Linked DNA regions of Caenorhabditis elegans. The protein of the gene in region 1 purifies or fractionates together with the protein of each later gene. This does not show direct contact. Each region holds a gene or a part of one and is shown on either strand. Other genes may lie near its edges. The genes, in order: cpt-5 and rbm-25.

What was found.
Region 2: the proteins of cpt-5 (region 1) and rbm-25 purify together in Caenorhabditis elegans (affinity purification with mass spectrometry, with the first as the bait; one large-scale study listed by BioGRID). This does not show direct contact.

What each region holds. Positions count from the first base shown.
Region 1 is NC_003283.11:13,871,428-13,876,474, forward strand, and holds cpt-5 (Choline/carnitine acyltransferase domain-containing protein), read left to right. Parts: upstream 1-1,767; 5' UTR 1,768-1,773; coding exon 1,774-1,863; intron 1,864-1,931; coding exon 1,932-2,339; intron 2,340-2,386; coding exon 2,387-2,674; intron 2,675-2,719; coding exon 2,720-2,913; intron 2,914-3,028; coding exon 3,029-3,701; intron 3,702-3,749; coding exon 3,750-3,884; intron 3,885-3,931; coding exon 3,932-4,120; intron 4,121-4,167; coding exon 4,168-4,398; 3' UTR 4,399-4,461; downstream 4,462-5,047.
Region 2 is NC_003283.11:12,496,375-12,504,254, forward strand, and holds rbm-25 (RRM domain-containing protein), read left to right. Parts: upstream 1-1,838; 5' UTR 1,839-1,918; coding exon 1,919-1,958; intron 1,959-2,030; coding exon 2,031-2,089; intron 2,090-2,137; coding exon 2,138-2,242; intron 2,243-2,290; coding exon 2,291-2,446; intron 2,447-2,501; coding exon 2,502-2,562; intron 2,563-2,879; coding exon 2,880-3,014; intron 3,015-3,124; coding exon 3,125-3,219; intron 3,220-3,361; coding exon of another isoform or gene 3,362-3,394; intron 3,395-4,900; coding exon 4,901-5,001; intron 5,002-5,290; coding exon 5,291-5,858; intron 5,859-6,189; coding exon 6,190-6,712; intron 6,713-6,815; coding exon 6,816-7,006; intron 7,007-7,052; coding exon 7,053-7,142; 3' UTR 7,143-7,331; downstream 7,332-7,880. Other genes in the region: W04D2.4 (C2H2-type domain-containing protein), read right to left, coding at 1-356, 737-948, 994-1,260, 1,312-1,380; T28H10.1 (L-aminoadipate-semialdehyde dehydrogenase-phosphopantetheinyl transferase), read left to right, coding at 7,431-7,600, 7,648-7,823, 7,875-7,880.

The DNA.
Region 1 (5,047 bases):
AATTGACGAGACGGGAAGAGGTGGAGATACAGGAGAACATTCACCTGGTGATGGTGCAGAAATGGGGCATATGTGTGAAAACTTATTGAATATTGACAAACAAATCTTGCAGTCCCCGAGCAAAGAAGAACAATTGGAGATTGCGACTGTCGCTGAGCAAGATTTGAAATCATTGAAATTGGCAGTAAAACTTGATTTTGAAGTAGTTGATGAAATGGAATCGGAAATTGAAAGACGCTATGAAGCTCACATAAAAGCTTTTAATGATGTTCATATGAATTCCATGGTGTTTTTGGATTTTGGAAAAGGAAAATTAAAGAAATGTGGAATTTCTCCAGATGGATTTGTGCAAATGGCTATTCAATTGGCTTATTACAAGGTAAACACTATTTTTTGTTCTCTGTTTTTCTAATTAAAAGTATATTTCAAATTGAAGGACCAAGGAAAATTTGCTCAAACCTACGAATCAGGATCGATTCGATTCTATGCAAATACACGAACAGAAACTTTGAGACCAGTAACCAAGGCTTCATGCGAGTTTGTAAAGGCAATGTTGAATGATGAATTGGATGTAAGCCTATTTATTGGAGAAAAATAAATAAAATTGACTTTCAGAAAGTTTCACGCCGGAAATTGTTGAAAGAAGCATGCGAGCTGCATGTGAATAACCGTAAAGAAATTATGCTAGGAAAAGGATTTGATCGTCGTCTATTTGTATTGTGTGTTCTTGCTAAAGGACTGGGGTACGAAAGCCCGTTCCTAGATTTTTATCAGAACTAAAAATGGCTTATCAGTACTAGTAATGTATGTTTACTTATTTTATGAACTTATTTGATTTATGCATCATGAGACGCAATTTTCAGGCTCCCACTATGACGAATACAATCGATGAAGATTCCTCAAGAAACAATATTATTCTTGGTGGATCATTTGGAGCGGTTGCTCAAGATGGATATGGAATTTGCTATCGATTCGGTGGAAATCAAGCAATTCCTCTTCATATCACTTCATATCATTCTTCTGATGCCACAGATTCTGATAGATTTGGGAATTATTTAAAAGAAGCTTTTCATAGTTTGGTGGATTTATTTGAAAAATAATTTACTTTCCTACAAAGTTATTTGAAAAATAAATATTTTTTCGAATTGGAAAATAGAAAAAGGCACATATTAAAAAAATAATTCATTACCAAGAAAATAATCCCAAGTTTTGTTCAGATTTTGGAACAAGGCCTAAGTCCATTAAAAAGTTTTATCTGCTGAACTTAAAACCAATATGAAGGTAAAGGAAGGAAGTATGAGAACATTTTTAGATCGTTTTTTCGGGTTTGGCTCTATTTGTTGTGTTACTTAGTCTAATCATAAGCTTTGAAAGATTCATATAGAAAGGAGGCAGGTTTTTAGATCTTGTTTCAGTAAAAATTAAGATCAATGCCAGTTTTTTTTGGTTTTAGACCCTCTCGAAGGTCAAGAAAAACAGTTATGAAACTTGGGAAGGATTAAAAATCTTCCATGTTTTAAAGCAGCACATGATATCGCGGAAAATTATTCCTTTTATACATCACAAAGTAGTAGCTCTTTGAGCCGATGCTAGACTACACTATTTTATCATTTGCGTGCAAAGCTACTAGGAAAAAAAACGAAAGAAACGAACAAAGTCAATAAAATGTAGCATTAAGTGTAGCCAGGTGGTTTCTATAAAATGAAGATCGAGAAATGAAATGTCGTTTTTCTGTTTACTTTTTTGCTAATAGATTGAAATTTGCAGTGAAAAATGTCATCAAATAAAAAAAAATTTGAATGGCCGTATCCAAAAATTAATCATTTTCCTGGAAGAATTGAACGATTCTCGTACCGAACTTATGTAAGTTTTCAGTAAAAAACTTTATATTCAACATGTCAAATTAATTATTTATTTGTGATAACTTTCAGAACTGGTTTGAAAACCGCCTTTGGCCAATCAGACCAATTCCATTTCTGGCCCTTGTCACAACTGCTACTGGTTATCAACTGAGAAACTTTAGCCTCCCAGACATTCAGCAGAACATTCAAACGATTGTGAGGCCCCTTGCGATTTCTATAGGATCTGTGTACACTTCCGTATTCCTTCTTCGTCATTTCCTAAAATATTTTTATTTTTCTTACAAAGGATATTTGAAGGAGAACCCAAAAAAACCATCTTTTTTTACAATTTTATGGGGTATTCTCAGAAAAGCAGTCCTTACAATTGCACCTCCTCAACTGTCGTCTTGTGACCGACTACTTCCTAATATTCCACTCCCTGCTCTAAAAAACACAGTGAAGCAATATGTGGATTCAATGCAATTAGTTTTATCAGAGGTAAGTTTTCAATAGTCTGTACACTCTTCAATGTACTCTCTTATCAGGAAGATCACACTGAACTGATCAAGACATCAAACCAATTTTTGAAAGAGGAAGGACGGAAATTACAACGATGTGCATGGCTTTGGCATAAGCTTAATGAAAATTACATAACCTATTTTTGGGAAAAATACATCTACAATGCAGGGCGATATGCTCTACCTATTAATAGTAGTATTGGACAATGTGTTATGTACGGAGAAGATGACTTGACTCAAGTGTACCAAGTTGCCAGATTGTTGCGATATGAGTCGCTTGCGAACTTGTCCTTGGACCGGCAAAAGTACATGGCAGTAAGTATCTGTTAACGTGTGTTTTGAACCCTTTTTTCGAATTAGGTTGGGGAAGGTCTTCTATCTACCAGACATTATAAAAACATTTACAATGGATGCCGGGTACCTGGAAAAGAAATTGATCATTTCCAATGGAATCCACCGAGCAAGCATGTACTTCTGGTACACAAAGGTACTTGGTACAAAGTGGATACTTTTGATCGAAACGGAAAATTGTACAGTGTCGATAATTTGGCAAAGTAAGTCACTTTCGTGAACATTAGATAGTGGAAGTATTTAACGCATCGTAATTTTCTTTAGTTAATTAATTTATATTATGACTACAAATATTATGGCTACTTTCAATAATTTCAGAATTGTTTCGGAAATAATGCACCGACAAGACAAGGCAGATGGATTCCTCTCAAAAATTGGAAGTTTAACTACTGATCGCCGGACTGAATGGAGCATAAACCGGGAAAAGTTCTTCCTAAATAACAAGAATAACAAAAAGTTATTGGAGATCATTGAGACAGCACAATTCGTAGTAGCGATTGACGGAACTAATCATTGGGGAGTTGAATCAACTAAACAAGTATCTCGGTATATGAAAGATATGTTGGCTGGAGATGGTACTAATCGATGGTTTGATAAAACTATGAACTATGCTGTTGACGAGACGGGAAGAGGTGGGGCTACTGGAGAACACTCTCCTTGCGATGGAGCTGAGTTAGACCACCTTTGCGAGAATTTCTTGAACATTGACAAACAAATCTTGAAGTCCCCGAGCAAAGAAGAACAATTGGAGATTGCGACTGTCACTGAGCAAGATTTGAAATCATTGAAATTGGCAGAAAAACTTGATTTTGAAATAGTTGATGGAATGGAATCAGAAATTGAAAGATGCTATGAAGCTCACACAAAATCGTTCAACGATCTTCATATGCATTCCATGGTGTTTTTGGATTTTGGAAAAGGAAAATTAAAGGAATGTGGAATTTCTCCAGATGGATTTGTCCAAATGGCAATTCAGTTGGCTTATTACAAAGCAGGCTTTAATTTTAAAGATTATTAACAAACTTATCTTCATTTTTAGGATCAAGGAAAGTTCACTCAAACATATGAACCAGGTTCAATTAGATTCTACGCAAATTCAAGAACAGAAACTTTGAGACCAGTAACAAAAGCGTCTTGTGAATTTGTTGAAGCCATGCTCTCGGATAAATCTGATGTACGTATACAAAAATATGTTCAATTCGATAAAATTTTGATTTTCAGATAGCCTCCCGCAGGAAGTTATTGAAAGAAGCTTGTGAAGTTCATGTGAATAACTGTAAAGAAATCATGCTAGGAAATGGATTTGATCGTCATCTATTTGTACTATGTGTTCTTGCAAAAGGACTTGGATACGAAAGTCCATTCCTCAATTTCTTCCAAAGTCAGAAGTGGCTTCTGAGTACCAGTAATGTATGTTTTCCGAATTATTTTTCGCAAATATGTAGATATTTTTCCAGATTCCCAATATGACAAACTCGATTGATGAAGATTCTTCAATTGACAAGATAATGCTTGGTGGTTCATTTGGAGCTGTAGCACAAGATGGGTACGGAATCTGTTACCGATTCGGAGGAAATCAAGCAATTCTTGTTCATATTACTTCGTATCATTCATCAGAAGTCACAGATTCGGATAGAATGGGAAATCGGTTGAGAGAAGCATTTCATAGTTTGGTTGATTTATTTTAAACTGTTTTTTTTTCAAACAAAGTTGTTATTCTTTTTAGGACAGAAAAAATAAAAAAGTTCATCGCGTTCAGTTGACTTTTAACAAAGACATTTTTTCTCAAGCTTTTAATAACAATAGAAAGATAAAGACGAATACGAACAAAGAGCTGTTACGTAGCTGCCTCAAGAAGGTGACTGAAAAGTTCAAACATCTTTAAAATCAAGAAATTTGTGTTTTGAGCATACATGAGCAACATGAAACACTTCAAAACAATTAATTCAGAAATTGAATACAAAAACTGAAACCTATGACTGAAAATATATTCTCGAAAATTAGTTCACGAAATGGTAAACGAAATTTGGTTGTTCCGAATAAGATTGTATAAAATTGGGTTGGAAATCCGGAAGTACAATTTATACAATTATATACCCGTGTGAGGTACATAGATAGAAAAAATACAAATTGAGGGTAAAGTAAAAGGGTCGTAAACCAAGCAGTTGAAAACTGAAAATGCTTGAAAAATTTCACAAAATTTGTAAATCTATGAAAAGGTTCACAAGGTTTAATACTCGAGAGTCACATAATCTTCATAAATTGTGAGTTCCAAATACAGAAACAAAAAATCTTCTTAAAGAAAATTGGAAACATATTTCACAGATTTTCAATACC
Region 2 (7,880 bases), 1.4 Mb from region 1:
TTGGTTCTGTGAATCGATGTGGAGATCTCATTGAAACTGGTGGCCATTCGATTCCTACTTTGTCGATAAGTTCCTCTTCCCAAACTTCGATTGATTTTGGAATTCCTTCTCTGCTCCATTTTTTAGTGCACGAAACTAATAGAGTCTTCAACTCATCGGTATCTACAAAGCAAACTCGCTGAGCATAAATGTTGTCTGCAGAGATGCTGAGGAAATGATGCCGTAAAAATCCAATAATTTCCATAGGAGAACTCTGTTCCATTTGCTTCTGAGCAATTATATACTTAATGACATTGGGGAGCCGCATCCGTGCGTCGTGAGCGTAATGATCACCACAAAATTCCGCAGACACATGTCTGAAAATAAAGATAAATTTGTTTATTTTTCAATTTTATTTCAAAGCAGAGGCCCCACGAAAAGGGGAGCAGAACGAAAAGAGGATCTGCAAAAAGGGGATCTGCGAAAAGGGGAGCAACGAAAAGGGGACCTGGCACTGTGCCAAACGCACAAAACACTTTTTTATTCTCATTCAACGCACGACTTTGTTATAACCACACTCCGTTGTGACGCATCGCGCGTTGTTTAGCGTAAAATACAAAAATAATGCGTGCGTTGAATGAGAATAAAAAGCGTTTTGTGCGTTTGGCACAGTGCCAGCTCCCCTTTCCGCAGATCCCCTTTTTGCAGATCCCCTTTTCGTTCTGCTCCCCTTTTCGTGGGGCCTCTCAAAGCATACCCATCATTATGTTCTGTTGCATGAATAAAAGCAGTACACGTGAATCCTAATCGAAATGGTCCTGTACGATCATTGGCTGTATTCTTATCACTACTCACATTGCCACTTCGATTGCATGCCAAAAAAATTCCTTTTCCACGCCCACGTCGTTTTGATCCCGATTTGTGTCGAAAATGAGCACCACCTTCCGACTCTAACCAGAATCTGAACCGCTGAAAAATTAATAATTATCAAATGTCAAATTTTAGATCTCCTACTTCAAATGTAGCACGGTCCGGGAATTCCATTGAATGAACATCCGGAAGAACGTCGTGCTCAATACGCAAATGACTGTGGAACTCAGGTCTCGTGATAAATTCGGAACTACACAATCCGCAACAATAAAATCTCTTTTTGAGTTGAGGATGCGAAACCATATTATCGCTTTGATTACGTCCACATCCATTATTCTTGTGATAATCGATCGTTCGAGAGGCAATCAATTTGTTGCATCCATAGGGGCATATATAACGTGGTTGTTGAGGCTAAAATAGTTCATATTAATTTGCTAAACACATTGCTGAAAACAGACATACTTTTAATTCCATGTAAGCTTCCACATGCATGTCATCTTCAAGATGATGATCATCGATATCATCAGTCATTCTGAAATTATAAATATCAACAATACATAACTAAATATTTCAAAAAATGAAATATAATTAGGACGTTTTATAGAGAAAAATAAGAACATGAAAGCACAGCGTTAATCATTTTTTATTTGAATGAAAAACAGTCGAAGGACAATCGGTGTCAAGAGTAGTTGCTGACGCAGAAGTGGTCACGAGAAATGCGCAAAGGAAAATCGATAAATTTCGTCTGCGCGTTTCAACGTATGCAATTGTTTAGAACAGAATCATCGCATTAATTTTTTACATTTTATATTAAAATAAAACCTTTACCTAAAACCTTTGTAAAACCTTTGTTTTATTAATTATTTGCATGTTATTATATAAATTTCGTTCCACAACACAATCTACTGTCGCTGAAATTGTTCTCTTGATAGTTAGGTGATAATTTATTTTCTCTTTTTTCTTTTTTACTCATTATCTTTTCTGGTCTAACTCTTAATACATTGCCATGCTCCACAACTTTTTTGTTTCAGGAAAAAATCGAATTTAGGACTTCGTTTTTCTCACGACCATGGCTTTCAGACAAGGCTATGGAGTGTCTTCGTACCCTCGTGAGTTTATTGCCTCGAGGCACTTTCTCAGTTAATCTTAAGAAAGTTTTTGTAGAAGAGTTTATTTTTCAGACTATCCACAACAACAACAGCAAATTGTTTTCGGACAGATGAGAATGCCGGGCCAGCACGTAAGCTAGTTTTTTCATGTAAAAAATAATTTTTTGTTTTATTTTCAGACGCCCGCGCAGCAATCAAGCCAACAAAAACCAGATTCGTCGCCAGTTTTTGTTGGAAACATATCCGATAAATGCAGCGATGAGTTCATCCGGAAAATATTAAACGTAATTATTACATTAGTTTATGGAATAAAAATTAATAAATTTTTACAGGAATGCGGTAATGTTGCGAGTTGGAAACGCATTAAAGGAAGTAACGGCAAATTGCAAGGTTTCGGATTCTGCCATTTCACAGATCTCGAAGGAACTCTACGAGCGCTGCGCATTCTTCACGAATTTCATTTGGGGGACAAAAAACTAACTGTAAAGGTTTGTTGAATAATGTTGTTTTCTAATCCCAACGCCAAAAGCTCTATGATTACAGCCTGACGAAAAAGTGCGTGATGATCTACGCAAAAATGCTATTGAAAATAGGAAGAGACAAGGTAAGAAATGGGTTTTTGACAGTTGAAATGTTTCATTCTAATCGATAAATCTCTTGTTTGAAGCATTATTTGCATCATTGGTTAGGTAACACCTTGTCTTTTGCATGTTTCCACGTTTTATGTTTACCGTATCACATGCTTGTAATAACCAAAGCTAGCATTTTTCACTGTTATGATTTTCAAAAATTGTTTGTATGTTTTTTTCTTTTGTCTCACTTCTCATAGTTGGAGAAAATAGCAAATAATTGTGAGCTCGATCTAATATGCCCAGTAGAAAACCAATATATCTGGATTTACCTATAGTTTCTAAATTTCAGGCAAAAAAGAACTGAAGTTAAAGCATGACGAGCTACCTGCAGACGAAGATGATTTGAAAAAAGACGAAGAAATTCGATTGAAAATACTTCATTGGATGGAAACTGATCACAAGGAACTATTTTCAATCACTGAAGGTATAACTTTACTTTTTAAAGGTGGAGTAGAGAAAAATGAACCGTAATGACCAAATATAACTGCTTTTAAAAACTTTTAAAACAATTCGTAACAGTTTTTCTGTTTCCAGATGGAGAACTCTCTGACGAGACCAAGAAAGTCAAGGGACATGATAGTAAAATCGAAAAGCAAACCGTGCCAAGTTCGTCTTCAAATCCAAAAAAGGTGAGTAATAGCTTCTGACGTGTATCCAACGACATGAGCCTTTCCATGGCTCTCCGCTGATATGAGAGGTGACTAATAGTTACAACCACTTTTAACATAAAATTTTAATTTTATGATCATTTTGACTATTCTATATAGGAACATGTATAACCAGCCAAGAATCGGAACACGATACGTAAGTTTTGACCCCATTTTCTTATATTTTTTAATATATATATTAAAACCTAAAAAGTCAATTATATGTAAAATGAGCAAATACACGAACCACATCAATATAAAAATTAATGATCACGTTAAATATGAAAAATGAGTAAATGCAAGAGTCCTATGTTCTAACCAACGCACAATATTCACAAAACTACGAAATTGAATATCGAGTAAAAATTTATGTTTCTAAATCTCACATTTCACCTTTGAAATGCATGTGTGAGTGTGCCAATTAACATGTTTCAGATTAAGCTTTTGCATGCTTTTCCCTTCTTTCTCTCTGCCAACCTCTTCTATTTCACACTCATGTCTTTTCTGTCTCACAGTCTATATTTTTTACGTTCCTCAAATATATTATCGCATTCCTCAGTTGTGTATCTCGGTCCTTTACTAATCATTGTTGGTGTGCAAAATATCAAGTAAAACTACATATTTTCTCCAGCAGGTACCAAAATGTTCCAGATTTTCTACAGCTCCTCCACTCATCAATGATTTTTGGTGGTATGTTGTTGAGTGAATATACGTATGCTTTCGATGTGTGTATGTAACCCCCCGTCTCCCCCACCATTTTTGTTCGAGAAGCCATATAAATTGCTCTGTCGTGCCTCTCATTGGGGAATTGCACCCTTCTTCTATTCCCATTCTTTTGTCCCCAGTATTCGTTTTATTAGTATCATCCTAAAATTACTTCCACTTTTGTAGGGAATATGTCAGAGACGAGCACTCCTTCATCTGCGGTAAGACAAGTTTTGCTCTCTATGTTGAAAATAATCATTTTACTTTCTTGTCGGCTTCCTGTTTTTATTTCTAGCGTTTCTCAAATTTTGACTGAAACTAGAAATTATTTGACGTTGTGTGTGTGTGTAATCCCGCACTAATCAACTGCTTCGATTATAGATTATAGAGAATCGTTTTTATCTAACTTTTTTAGCGTTTTCACTCTCAGATTGCAATACATTCACGCATACAACTTATTCTTGGGCTATACTCACTTTGTTCGTGTCTCCTTGTATTGTATTCCAAAATCGAATTTGCAGAAAAAACTGAACTACTGGATTTCCATTAGTTTTTGCCCAAATTTGAGTCGTAAGTCATCATCCCCTCCAGCTCCCTGTTTTTGTTCCGTTTAATTTAAAGACTTGCATGCTTTCTCAGTCACCTTTTTATTTGGAAAATGTTGGTAACCCTGTTTGAAAAAAAGTTGGGTTTTTAATAACTCATGGTGATGGTTTCGAAAAATTGAAGTGGCCTAATATTAAAAGTGAGTACTACTATGTGTATGTCTATGTGTTACATCAAATTCACGAGAAATATATATTCATATTCTTTTTCTCTCACTCTCTTGCTCTCTTGTCCTCTCGCCTATCAAAGTTTTTTTTGAAAAACTCGATAAGAAAATTGCAAAATAAAATACATGTAGACCAAGTGATCTCAAATATAGATTTTAAATTAATTTTCAATAATTGTATTTCAGGATGAACACAAACGAAATCGCAATCGACGCAGCCGCAGTCGCACAAGGAGCCGAGAAAGAACTTCACGACGATCGAGAAGCAAAGAATCGCCCAGAAGCAAGTAAGTGTTTTAATTTAATTTAATTTTTATTTTCAACCACTGGAGTACCGCTGGAATAGTCAAAGGGTGTTGGTTCTTCAATTTTTCACACAAATTAAAAAACGAAAATATTCCGAATTTTTCGGTATTCCGATACTTCAAAAATTTCGATTTTTCGATAGTTAGCTTATAAAATTTTAGTAATTTTTTTCTTTGTAAAATAAATTTATATGCTTTTTTTCGTCAACATAAAAATAATAAAAAAATATTCTTTAAAAAAATGTTTCAATTTCTACTCAATAATTTTCAGGCGATCACGTCGAAGCCGCTCCAGCTCAAATTCATCCTCAGAATCGGACTCATCTTCATCTCGTAGTTCATCATATTCTTCTCGATCCAGGTCACGCACTCCTCAACGTAGCAGAACATCTAAACGACGCCGAAGTAATAGTCATGCTTCAGAAGACAGCGATGATGCAAGGGAGAAACGTGCTTTCAAACAAATGATGCTTGATAAGAAGCAAGCATATCTGGCTCGTCTGAAACGATGGGAATCAAGAGAACGACAAATGTCGAAAAGGTATGAACGAGAGGAACGGAAAGAGAAGGATCGCAAAAAGACACTACAAAAGGAAGGCAAACGATTAAAACTATTCCTCGAGGACTATGATGATGAGAAAGATGATCCAAAATACTACACTTCTTCTCAATTCTTCCAAAGAAAAAGAGACTATGAACGTGAAAGGGAAGCTGATCAAAAAGATCGAATGCAAGAACAGCAAGAGATTGAAGAACTCAAAAGACAAATTATGGAAGAAGCTGCAAATGATGAGAGTATTAACATTGAAGAGGAGGCAAGGAAACGACACAAACTAAAGGTTTGCATTTTTAATTCGTACGCGGCAAGACAAAAATCTTTCGTTTCGAAGCTTCAAAGAAAAATGACTTGAAGTTTCTAAATAGGTCCATAGAACATCGATCTAATCAAAACCTACCGTATAACTAAAGAAGTTTATACACCATTCAAAATTGTTCCTAACTGAAGTTCTCTTCTTTCTTAATTCTGCCATAATTTTGAGTATTTTTTACAGTATGCCTTCCTTCCACGGGTGATATTTCTCTGGGCTTAATAGAATTGCGCTTTACTTATTTTACTACGCTTAGTAGTGATTGGCACAACTATATACATTCAGTAAACCCTATCAAAAGTTTCAGGAAGAAGAAGCAATGCGAAAAATGCGAGCTGATAGTGGAAGTCCAAATCCTCATCAACCACTTGGTCAATCGGCAAACGGAGAAAAGTCTTCGAGTGAAGAAGAGAGTGATAGCGAAAAGACCGATGTCAAAAAGGAAATTAAGGATGAAATTAAAGAAGAACCAATTGATGTAGATATTTCCGAGCATGTAGATCCTAACACTGGTTCGTCTGGTACAAATGGAAATTTCGGATGGAAAGCGATTGGAGATGACTCTTCTCTCAATACAAAAATAAACCGCCCTATAGCTAACGGAAATCAAAATCAGCCGCAAATTAAAAAAGAAGCATCTCCTATTCCAATTGCTCAACGCCTCAGTGGTGTGTTTGGAAATGATGACGATGAAGACGATGTGCATAGCAAAAAGAAGTTGAAACCATTCGAGATCACTAGAGAAGAGCGTATGCAAGTCATGTCAGCTGAAGAAAAAAGAGAGCTGACGAAGCAGATAATCAAAACTATTCCTGCTACAAAAGGCAAGTTATTTCGAAGAAAACGTTCATAAACTTTGAGTTTTTATGGTAAAATCAAAGATATGTTTATTGAAAAAAAAAACATTTAAAACTTGATTTTTTTCAGATGAACTTTTTGTTCATAGAATCGAATGGGATCAGCTAGATGGGAAATGGATGAATGATCGAATTCGTCCGTGGGTGGCTAAAAAAGTCACTCAATTCCTTGGCGAAGAAGACAAATCGTTCTGTGATTTCATCTGTGATCAAATTGAGAAACAAGCGACACCCCAAGAAATACTCAAAGACGTCGCCGTCGTGAGATGATCAATTATTAAGTAAAAATCTAATATATGGAATTCAGATCATTGACGAGGATGCTGAGCAATTTGTGATCAAAATGTGGCGACTTTTAATTTATGAGGGACAAGCCCGTCGTCTCGGAATTACATAACTACTTTCAATATTGGAAATACATTATGCAATCTTTTTACCACTCATCCCCGCCTCTGTATTGAGTTGTTCTTTACTTCAAAGACTCGTTTTACTGTCTATTTCTCTCTCCCTCTCTGGAATTCATTCCAGTGAGCAGCTGACTTAATAATCGCTATTATAATATTAAATTAAATATAGTTTTCTGTGCTATACTTCAAACTGATATTTTTATGAAATGTGGCATCTACCTCTTGATGATTTCTAATTTAGCTCATCCGTCTCAATTTTCATCATAAATTCCAGCGCAATGAGCTTAAGATGGGCAATATCGCTGGAAGAAACGATAACTTCATCTACATTCCAAAATATGTTTAGACGGGCTATTTTGTGTGCATCGGAAAGTGATGTGGAGCAGCAGAGACGGTTTCGATATAAAGAAGATGCATTGGCATGTCTGATAGGAAGATTAATTCCAAGGTTCTAACAAAATGTTATTCGAGTTTGAATAATTGGAAGACATTCAGAAAAGCTGCCACTATATCAATATCTCGTCAGTGGTCAGATCTAGAGTTTAGTCGGAATGAAAATGGAAAACCATCTCTTATTCAAAATAAATCAGACTATTCTCGTCAAAACTTCGAATACAACGTATCGCATCATGGTGATCTAGTTGTATTAGCTACCGGAGATACTAGAATAGGTTTGTACTAATGTTTTGAATTTTGATCTTATAAAGGCAAAATTATTTAAGGTGTCG